2 linked regions of the Saccharomyces cerevisiae S288C genome follow. Changing the gene in region 1 together with any one later gene gives a genetic interaction. Each region holds a gene or a part of one and is shown in the gene's direction. Other genes may lie near its edges.

Region 1 (5,526 bases):
GTTTCTGCCAATGAAAAAAATCGCTTGCGTGTGCTTAAAATTTCATCCAAAGTAGCCTTTACGGATGCACTTGTAAATGTTAGCTTTTGTATAAGTAGCTCCTGTGGTGCTCTTTTCCTAAGATCCTCTCTTATTAAAAGATTGACATCCTGGACAATATCATCCCATTCTTCTATCATGCCTGCTGATTTTTCATATAAACCCAAAAAAGAACCATACTCTAGCTGAAATAAATCTGAAAGATTACTTAGAATTGCATCCATGACTTCTTGTGAAATTTTGTCCATCAGCACAACAAATCTTTGAACTGGATAACCTGAATATCTGAACTTCTTCAAAGAAGATGCTAAAACAGGAAATAGTTCCTGCAAGTCCTCAAGATTGCTTGCCTGGCGAACCTCATCGATAGGGATTGACGATAGAAATTGGTTATATTTATCCGCTAGCTTAAATTTATCTGAAAGTGAACCTTCATTCAATAAATTTGTTAAATTATGAAATCTCTTTGCGTTTGTTAGAACGGATAGACACACCTGAAATTCTTGGCTTTGTGTTTGTTCAATTAACGACTTCAGTACTTCGTAGAAATTCGACCAAAACTCAACTTCGTCTAAAAAAGAACCATTTTTTATATCTCTGTCAATGGCTAATGTTTGTTTAAGAACCAAAAACCATTTGTTTGCAATGCTTTGTAAAATGTTCAAAAATCTCATACTTTCCAAATCATTACTAGGAAGGTAGTTTGCATAATCATGTGAAGTAGCCCCTTTTGATACAGCCAATTTGATAATGCTAGGGACCATCGCTAAAAGATCTGGCGTTTCAATTGAGGTATGTAACTGTTGAAATTGTTTAGAAATGTCGTCAAGTTTCCTCCTCGTTTTATCTATAGTTTCGACAGAATATGTCTTTGTATCTGATTTTATCAATTGGCCAAACACAGACGATACGCCATGTGTGATAATTGAGGCCAGGTTCCCCGCATTTACTGGACCAGGTAAGTATATGGCACTTATTTGTGTTGCAATCGGTTCTGCATCCACAATAACACTTCTAGATTTAATAATTAATAGAGTAGAATACTTTTTATTCGCCAAGTTGGCATCATATATAGCCTCTTCACCAATGTCTATTGTAACTATTGTTCTATCCAGCTCTTCAAAAAGGAAGACAAACAACGTGTCGAACTCTCTCCCATCCAATAATCCCAAAAAAAATTGAAACCGTTCAAGGTATTGACAATGTAGATAATCAATGAATGCTTGCTCATTCTCTTTGGGAGAATTCTTTATACCCGTTACAGTAGCTGCAACAAATTCTATCAGCTCATTAGCAAGTCTTGCCTCATTCTTGCACATTGCCTAAAAAACGTTTTGACGTACTTTCCAATTTAAGCTCTGAACGAGTATTATTGCCCTTCTATGTTCTATGCTTTCTGTTAATTTTTATATGTAATGTTTGTTTACCTTTCATTAGCTTATTTATTAGAATCCGTACAATGCGACCTTCCGCGCATCAATTCGGGATGATCTGATTAAGTAGTTATAGCCTTACGTTAAGACGACAAAAGACATGATAAGCATCCCTCAAAAGTTACAGCAAACTTAAGTCAAATAGGTCCAAAAATCTCCAATAGTAACGCTTTTTCATGAATACACTATTATTTAAGCGAAAAGGTGGCAATTGTGGGAACGAAAGTAACATAGTTTCGCAGGGATCGCCCTCAAGTAGCAATCTTCCTGAATCACCTGGCACTTTAGATGAAAAGAATCTTCCCAGATTGCCTACTCCATTCGCTAGAAGCCTTTCTACCATTCCTAGTTATGAGCAGATGAAACGTACAAACAAACTGCCAGATTATCACCTAAAGATTGTTGTTGTGGGAGATGGCGCTGTAGGGAAGACGTGCCTGCTGATATCTTATGTCCAAGGAACATTTCCGACTGATTATATTCCTACTATTTTCGAAAATTATGTCACAAACATAGAAGGACCCAACGGTCAAATTATAGAATTGGCATTATGGGACACTGCCGGCCAAGAAGAGTATAGTAGACTTAGACCGCTTTCATATACGAATGCAGATGTGCTGATGGTGTGCTATTCTGTTGGTAGTAAGACATCGCTTAAAAATGTGGAAGATCTCTGGTTCCCAGAGGTTAAGCATTTTTGTCCTTCCACTCCAATCATGCTAGTCGGCCTTAAATCAGATCTATATGAAGCTGATAACCTTTCAGATCTGGTGGAACCAAGTTCAGCAGAATCCTTGGCCAAGCGTCTGGGGGCATTTGCACATATTCAATGCTCAGCACGATTGAAAGAAAATATCGATGAAGTATTTGAAACTGCCATACACACGTTACTTTCCGATTCATTATATGCTCCCAGAGAGCCTACACATACAATCAAAAATCCCTTTAAAAGAAATACCACCAGATCAGATATCGATTCTTCTACTGGAGATACCAGCGTCTCTATTTCCGGAACGAAAAGATTAAGAAAAAACAAGTGTATTATAATGTAAGAATAATGATGAAGATTATTCTGTTGCCCATTCTGTACGCACTTACAACATTTGAAAAGTGGCAAGAAAAAATACACACATTTTACTATCTTCCGCTATCTTATTTATCAAGACGAAACAATTAGAACCTGATTTAATTTAACTTCCATTTTTCTGAATCTGGTGTGATATACCGCTCCAATATATTCGAATTTATCCCAATTTTATCATAATAATTCATTTTAATTCGATGTCATAAAGTACTAATTCGATATTAATCTAGCCTAATTACATTAAATACTTAATAAAAGCTTCTGTGACATAAAAGTACAAATCTGTCATTTTATTTTAGAGGAATAGTTTAGGACAAAGTCATTATGTACGAACAGTTTGAATTTTCTTTTTTTTTCTTCGAAAATTCAGACAATAAGGTTAAATATAAAGCTCATCTCATCTCATCGATAAAACGCTGGAGTATTATCACATGCATGCGTTGCTTTTGGACCGTACAGAAGTCTATATTTAAAGCTAGGTTTTTCGCTTGCAGAAACTTTGTCAAGAAGCATAATTATAAACTAATCAGCACCATGACTGGAAGTACTGAAATGGTACCACCAACAATGAAACATACCGTTGACAACAAAAGGCTTTCGTCTCCTTTGACAGATTCTGGTAACCGCCGGACTAAGAAGCCAAAGTTGAGAAAGTACAAGGCCAAAAAGGTTGAAACAACTTCTCCGATGGGTGTCCTAGAATTTGAAGTGAACGATTTGTTAAAATCTCAAAATTTGTCCAGGGAGCAGGTTCTGAACGATGTTACTTCAATTCTAAATGATAAGTCCTCAACAGATGGACCTATCGTCTTACAATATCACCGAGAGGTAAAAAATGTCAAGGTCTTAGAAATTACTTCCAATGGCAACGGGTTGGCTTTGATCGATAATCCTGTTGAAACAGAAAAGAAGCAAGTTGTTATCATACCGTTTGGCCTGCCCGGTGATGTAGTTAATATCAAAGTCTTTAAGACCCACCCTTACTATGTCGAGAGTGATTTATTAGACGTAGTGGAAAAATCTCCAATGAGAAGAGATGATTTAATTAGGGATAAATATTTCGGGAAATCTTCAGGAAGTCAATTAGAGTTCTTAACTTACGATGACCAACTAGAATTGAAAAGAAAAACAATTATGAATGCCTACAAGTTCTTCGCACCAAGGTTAGTTGCTGAAAAACTTTTACCCCCATTTGACACCACCGTAGCTTCCCCTTTACAATTTGGCTACAGGACCAAAATTACGCCTCATTTCGATATGCCAAAAAGAAAACAAAAGGAACTATCAGTAAGGCCTCCTTTAGGATTTGGTCAAAAGGGTAGACCTCAATGGAGAAAAGATACTTTGGATATCGGCGGACATGGTTCGATATTAGATATCGATGAATGTGTGCTTGCAACTGAAGTTCTCAACAAAGGATTGACTAATGAAAGAAGAAAGTTTGAGCAAGAGTTTAAAAACTACAAAAAAGGCGCGACTATTTTACTGAGAGAGAATACCACTATTTTAGACCCTTCCAAACCAACTTTAGAACAGTTAACCGAAGAAGCCTCTAGGGATGAAAATGGTGATATAAGTTATGTCGAAGTCGAAGACAAAAAGAACAATGTCAGGCTGGCTAAAACTTGCGTTACCAATCCTAGACAAATTGTCACTGAATATGTTGATGGATATACTTTTAATTTTAGTGCGGGTGAGTTTTTTCAAAATAATAACTCTATCCTGCCAATAGTGACCAAGTATGTCCGTGATAACTTGCAAGCTCCCGCTAAAGGTGATGATAATAAAACAAAGTTTCTAGTAGATGCTTATTGTGGATCAGGTCTTTTCAGTATATGCAGCTCCAAGGGCGTAGATAAAGTGATTGGTGTAGAAATTTCCGCTGACAGTGTCTCTTTTGCAGAAAAAAATGCAAAGGCAAATGGTGTTGAAAACTGTAGATTCATCGTTGGAAAGGCTGAGAAACTCTTTGAGTCTATTGATACTCCAAGTGAAAACACTTCCGTTATCTTGGATCCACCACGCAAGGGCTGTGACGAATTATTCCTAAAGCAATTAGCCGCATATAATCCAGCCAAGATTATTTACATATCGTGTAATGTCCATTCCCAGGCACGTGATGTCGAGTACTTCCTCAAAGAAACAGAAAACGGTTCCGCCCACCAGATTGAAAGCATAAGAGGATTTGATTTCTTTCCACAAACGCACCACGTTGAGAGTGTGTGTATAATGAAGAGAATCTAATTGCACATATAAAATATCTATCACTATGTATATCTTTCTAGAGTAAATGTCTTCCTGTACTTTTAAATCCGTACATTTTGAAAATTGAAAATGTATCTCAGATTCATTTTTCAATTCGAAATGAACGAAAATTACACTAAAAAGGTAACGTGTAGAGTGATATTATGCACAACGATTTTTTGAAAATTTCATATACGTTATTCTAATGTTTAGTAGAGAGTTTAGCGGAAGATATAAGGTGATCAGGCGTAAATTAACCACATACAAACCATAGAAACATCATACCAAAATGGAAAACGATAAGGGCCAATTAGTATGTTCGAGAAATCTATAAGATTTTTTATATTTTAACGGATGAATGGAAAGTGCATGGCTGTTTAAATAAATGTAAGAAAGATATCATAATGCAAACAAAACGTAGGCATCCGCAATGTATGGAAAACATACTTATGGTTACCGATAATAAGCAACTCCGAAGGTGCCATAGACCAGCTCTGAATGCAGCCTACAAAAGTTGAGCAATTTCTGACAAAATTCTTCGATTACTTTCTTCACATGTATTAAATCATCACTCACCACCACCAACAATGTGTTTTTTAAACTAGCATAACTAACAAAGATTTGTTTTACATCAGGTCGAACTTTACGTTCCAAGAAAATGTTCTGCTACCAACAGAATCATCAAGGCTGATGACCACGCATCTGTTCAAATCAACGTCGCTAAGG
Region 2 (5,766 bases), on another chromosome or scaffold:
TTCAACCCTTTGGCGTCGACATCAGCCATCTTCCCATTACCAACCCTCCCATTTTTCAAAGTTCTTTACCAGCGTTTGATCAGCCCGTGTACAAAAGACGCATATCTATCTCCAATGGTCAGATTAGTCAATTAGGCGAAGACTTAGAAACGGTTGAAAATCTTTACAACTGTCAGCCTCCGATCCTATCGTCTAAGGCGCAACAGAATCCCAATCCTCAACAGGTGGCAAATCCAAGCGCAGCCATATACCCAAGCTTTAGCTCGAACGAATTGCAAAACGTGCCACAACCACACGAACAAGCTACAGTCATACCCGAAGCTGCACCTCAAACAGGTAGCAAGAATATCTACGCTGCAATGACCCCGTATGATAGCAATATAAAGCTTAACATACCCGCAGTAGCAGCCACTTGTGACATTCCTTCTGCCACGCCTTCTATCCCATCTGGCGATTCCACAATGAATCAGGCTTACATCAACATGCAACTCCGATTACAAGCTCAAATGCAAACTAAGGCATGGAAAAACGCTCAATTGAATGTGCATCCATGTACTCCAGCCTCTAATTCTTCCGTTTCCTCTTCTTCTTCCTGCCAAAACATTAATGATCATAATATCGAAAATCAATCCGTCCATTCTTCAATTTCCCATGGCGTTAATCACCACACTGTTAATAATTCCTGCCAAAATGCCGAGTTGAATATTTCAAGCAGCCTTCCATACGAATCGAAATGCCCTGATGTCAATTTAACACATGCCAACTCAAAACCACAATACAAGGATGCCACTTCTGCACTGAAAAACAATATTAATAGTGAGAAAGACGTACATACCGCGCCCTTCTCCTCTATGCACACTACAGCAACCTTCCAAATAAAGCAGGAAGCTAGACCCCAAAAAATAGAGAACAATACTGCAGGCTTGAAAGACGGTGCTAAAGCTTGGAAGCGTGCAAGGCTACTAGAACGAAACAGAATTGCCGCTTCCAAGTGTCGACAGAGAAAGAAAATGTCACAATTACAACTTCAAAGGGAATTTGACCAAATAAGCAAAGAAAACACAATGATGAAGAAAAAAATTGAAAATTACGAAAAATTGGTTCAAAAAATGAAGAAAATTTCGAGGTTGCACATGCAAGAATGCACAATTAATGGTGGTAATAATAGTTATCAAAGCCTTCAAAACAAGGATAGTGATGTTAACGGGTTTCTGAAAATGATTGAAGAAATGATACGCAGCTCCAGTCTATATGATGAATAAAAGTATTGCGCATACTTCTTATGGGAGATCCAAATTCCCAGTACATTAGTTTGACTCTCCTTCCTTAATGTTTTCCTCTGTACGATTATTTATGTTTAAACGATTTATTTTACTATGTATGTATTTCCTTTCATTTTCTTTCGGAGTCATATATATTGCTGGGCGGCTAAATGTTTCCGACTTGTAAAAGAAAACATAACAAACATCTTGTAGTTGTGAAACAGTTTCATTAAATAATCTTTTAGAAGAGTAAGGACATGAGTAGAGGCAAACTGGAAGATATGGAACAAAAGGAAACATCGGAAGTTGACTGGATAATCGTACGTGAAATTGTCACATCCTTAACCTATTTTCTCTTTACTAACTTTTAGTAAGAGGTGTAATCTCCTCGAATATTATCTATGACAGTGTTTTGCTTTAATTCAATCCAGGAATCCTACGTTGTGGAAGAGGGCACTTTCAAGAAAGAAAGGAGATGTCGAAGATGTAGGTGCTCTCAAGAGTGAAAAAAATTTAAAAATAAATCCTCGGGAAAACTCAAAACATATATACAAATGGGTTGCGCCTTTCGAAAATGGATTTTTGAATAATAAATCACTGTTTGCTCATCTGGAACCTATATACAATTTCCTTTGCCAGAATAAGTACAAAAGCTTCGAAGATGCAGTTGGTTTAAAGGAGCTGCAATCATTTAGCAAAGATGTATCAACTGCTGATATAAACAACTGGTTTTTACCGAGATATAAAATTCTGCTAAAAATCCTGAGCTTAAAAACAAAAGAAATTGACTTTAGAGGGTTATCGCAAGTGTTTCAAACACTCCAAATCTTGTTAGTTTCTCATTATTCGCATCGCATAGATTCTGATTCTTCTTTTAAGAGGACACTGATAGACGTTCATGTTTTCAATTTCATCGCCAAGTTTCTGTTTAATAGAATTTTATTGAAGAAGAACCAAAACGATCCAAAATGGCTTCAAAACTTTTACGACCAGGGAGATGGCAAACATTTATGTGATAAAGTTGACTACAAGCGCTTGTGTTCGTTGCATTTTACCCTTATTTACTCTATTATTAACATTCAACTCATCAAAATCAAGACAAACCAAACATTTGAACCGCAGATATTAAAATACGTATCTGTTCTGAAATTAATTGAACACATACTTATCATCATCGAAAGTCTGATACATGTACTTATTAGATTTGTATCGAAGCATAAACTAATATGCATCAACCGGAAAAAGGCGTACTGTCGAGTATACCTCGAAAGAGAATTGAGTTTGAAGAAAACCTACTTAAAGAACTTTTACAGTGTAATAAGCGGTGTCCCAGAAAAAGAGTTAGGGGGTCTATTGAAAATACTCAAGATAGTTATTCTATCATTGCTCGAGACATTTGAAAGCATTGAATGGCAGCACTTAAAACCTTTCCTGGAAAAATTTCCGGCTCATGAAATATCGCTTCAGAAGAAAAGGAAATATATACAGGCGGCCTTATTAATTACTGCCGAAAGAAATTTGATAGCGCGCTTTCGATTGTCAAGATGGTTCAATGAGACAGAAAACATTTAATTTTTCTTTTGCAGTAGGAGGCGCATTATAAAACACAAAAATATCGAAAGCTCTTTCATTTCGGGGACAACAACTTCAGTTGAAAATTACAGTGAACACAACATCTTCCCCAACAGACCTACATTAAAACGCTTCTTCCGGACTTGCCCATGATTAACCTAATCTTATACGAACTGAATTAAACTTTACGGTATTACCGATAGGAAACTTCTATTTTATGATTTTTTCGTTCGGGGACGGAACGAACAGGAAACAAAAAAAAAGGTACGATCCATTGTATTCTCTACCCCCGTATATAAAACTAAGCTGAACAAGCCTGTTGTTTTGCTTTACTATTGCTACTATTTTTGACGTAAACGCATTGACTAATTTCAGGTTTTTATATTCTTGACACTAGCTAGACCATAGTATCGAAGGATTCAAATACACTAAAGTATCAGATAATGTTCAGCCTACAAGACGTAATAACTACAACCAAGACCACCTTGGCAGCAATGCCAAAAGGTTACTTACCAAAATGGTTACTTTTCATTTCCATTGTATCAGTCTTCAATTCTATCCAGACTTACGTTTCTGGTTTAGAATTGACACGTAAAGTCTACGAAAGAAAACCCACTGAAACAACCCATTTGAGTGCAAGAACTTTCGGTACTTGGACCTTTATTTCCTGTGTTATCAGATTCTATGGGGCTATGTACTTGAATGAACCACACATTTTCGAATTGGTCTTCATGTCTTATATGGTTGCCCTATTCCACTTCGGCTCTGAATTATTGATCTTTAGAACTTGTAAGTTGGGAAAGGGATTCATGGGTCCATTGGTTGTCTCAACCACCTCTTTGGTTTGGATGTACAAACAAAGAGAATACTACACTGGTGTTGCTTGGTAATTCTGATGTAAGGGCAAGCATATCCTGTAAAAAAAATTATATAGAGATGATTTATTTATATAATGCCTATAGCAACCTTTATCCAAACCTTCCGTACATTATTTAACAGCAATTGTTTATCATTCATGATTATTTCTCAAAAAGCTGCCAATTTGGCTTCATTTCTGTAAGTATCCCTACCTCTCTCCTCTAACGCAGATATTTCTGTGCACGTGATCTCGTTGGCTTTTTTTTCGGCCGAAATTTTCACAGGCTAAGGCCGAAAAAGAAAGAAAATTTTCAGAGGAAAAAGAAAATTAAACGACCTCGAAGCCGTATTTTAGATTTTCCAATCTCTTATTTAGTAACGTGGTTTATTAACTCCATGATTCCATTCCTATTTGTTTTTCTTTCTTTCTGAAAATCCTCTTCTCCTCGAAATAACCCAACTGACAAAAAGAACAATTCCCAATGTCTGCTCCAGCTCAAAACTACAAAATCGCTGATATCTCTTTGGCTGCCTTCGGTAGAAAGGAAATCGAATTGGCTGAACATGAAATGCCAGGTTTGATGGCCATCAGAAAGGCTTACGGTGACGTCCAACCTTTGAAAGGCGCCCGTATTGCTGGTTGTTTGCACATGACCATTCAAACTGCTGTTTTAATTGAAACTTTAGTTGCTTTGGGTGCCGAAGTTACCTGGTCCTCTTGTAACATCTATTCGACTCAAGATCATGCCGCCGCTGCTATTGCCGCTTCCGGTGTTCCAGTTTTTGCCTGGAAGGGTGAAACTGAAGAAGAGTATTTGTGGTGTATTGAACAACAATTGTTTGCCTTCAAGGACAACAAGAAATTGAACTTGATCTTAGATGATGGTGGTGATTTAACCACTTTAGTTCATGAAAAGCACCCTGAAATGCTGGAAGACTGCTTTGGTCTTTCCGAAGAAACTACCACCGGTGTTCACCACTTATACAGAATGGTCAAAGAAGGCAAGTTAAAGGTTCCTGCCATTAACGTTAACGACTCCGTCACTAAGTCCAAGTTTGACAACTTGTACGGCTGTAGAGAATCCTTAGTCGACGGTATTAAGAGAGCCACTGATGTCATGTTGGCTGGTAAGGTTGCCGTTGTTGCTGGTTACGGTGATGTCGGTAAGGGTTGTGCTGCTGCCTTAAGAGGAATGGGTGCTCGTGTCTTGGTTACCGAAATTGACCCAATCAACGCTTTACAAGCTGCCATGGAAGGCTACCAAGTTGTTACCATGGAAGATGCATCCCACATTGGTCAAGTTTTCGTTACCACCACTGGTTGTAGAGATATTATCAACGGTGAACATTTCATCAACATGCCAGAAGATGCCATTGTTTGTAACATTGGCCATTTCGATATCGAAATTGATGTCGCCTGGTTAAAGGCTAACGCTAAAGAATGTATTAACATCAAACCACAAGTCGACCGTTACTTGTTGTCTTCTGGTAGACACGTCATCTTGTTGGCTAACGGTAGATTAGTTAACTTGGGTTGTGCTACTGGTCACTCATCTTTCGTTATGTCTTGTTCCTTCTCTAACCAAGTCTTAGCTCAAATTGCTTTGTTCAAGTCTAACGATAAGTCTTTCAGAGAAAAGCACATTGAATTCCAAAAGACAGGCCCATTCGAAGTTGGTGTCCACGTTTTGCCAAAGATCTTGGATGAAGCTGTCGCTAAGTTCCACTTGGGCAACTTGGGTGTTAGATTGACTAAATTGAGTAAAGTCCAATCTGAATACTTGGGTATTCCAGAAGAAGGTCCATTCAAGGCCGACCACTACAGATATTGATCAATTCAATTCCCATTTCAGTTCTTCTTTCTCACTATTTTTTAATGTTCAAAAACTCAACGGTTTGATCATCAAAAAAGATCATAAATAAATTGCAAATATAAAAACAACAGCTAACAATCCTATCACAGTATTAATACTAATACATGTGATACTAAGTTACGTTATCGAAAAGATAGATCCTGTATACCTATATATATAATAAATTCTTCAACAGTAAATATTTCATTCATGCACTTGAC

The links.
Region 2: mutations in RHO4 (region 1) and MEI4 together harm fitness more than expected from each alone (negative genetic interaction), as found in Saccharomyces cerevisiae (2 studies listed by BioGRID).

What each region holds. Positions count from the first base shown.
Region 1 is NC_001143.9:546,568-552,093, forward strand, and holds RHO4 (Rho family GTPase RHO4), read left to right. Parts: upstream 1-1,648; coding exon 1,649-2,524; downstream 2,525-5,526. Other genes in the region: DYN1 (dynein heavy chain), read right to left, coding at 1-1,358; TRM2 (tRNA (uracil(54)-C(5))-methyltransferase), read left to right, coding at 2,881-4,800; 40S ribosomal protein eS21 RPS21A, read left to right, coding at 5,090-5,113, 5,436-5,526. UniProt on the Saccharomyces cerevisiae protein: Plays an important role in cell growth. Required to keep the uninucleated state. May be involved in the organization of the cytoskeleton which affects microtubule functions.
Region 2 is NC_001137.3:235,528-241,293, reverse strand, and holds MEI4 (Mei4p), read left to right. Parts: upstream 1-1,519; coding exon 1,520-1,582; intron 1,583-1,670; coding exon 1,671-2,834; downstream 2,835-5,766. Other genes in the region: ACA1 (Aca1p), read left to right, coding at 1-1,262; ERG28 (Erg28p), read left to right, coding at 3,278-3,724; SAH1 (adenosylhomocysteinase), read left to right, coding at 4,175-5,524. UniProt on the Saccharomyces cerevisiae protein: Required for meiotic induction of recombination, viable spore production and chromosome synapsis. Component of the MER2-MEI4-REC114 complex which seems to be required for meiotic double-strand break (DSB) formation.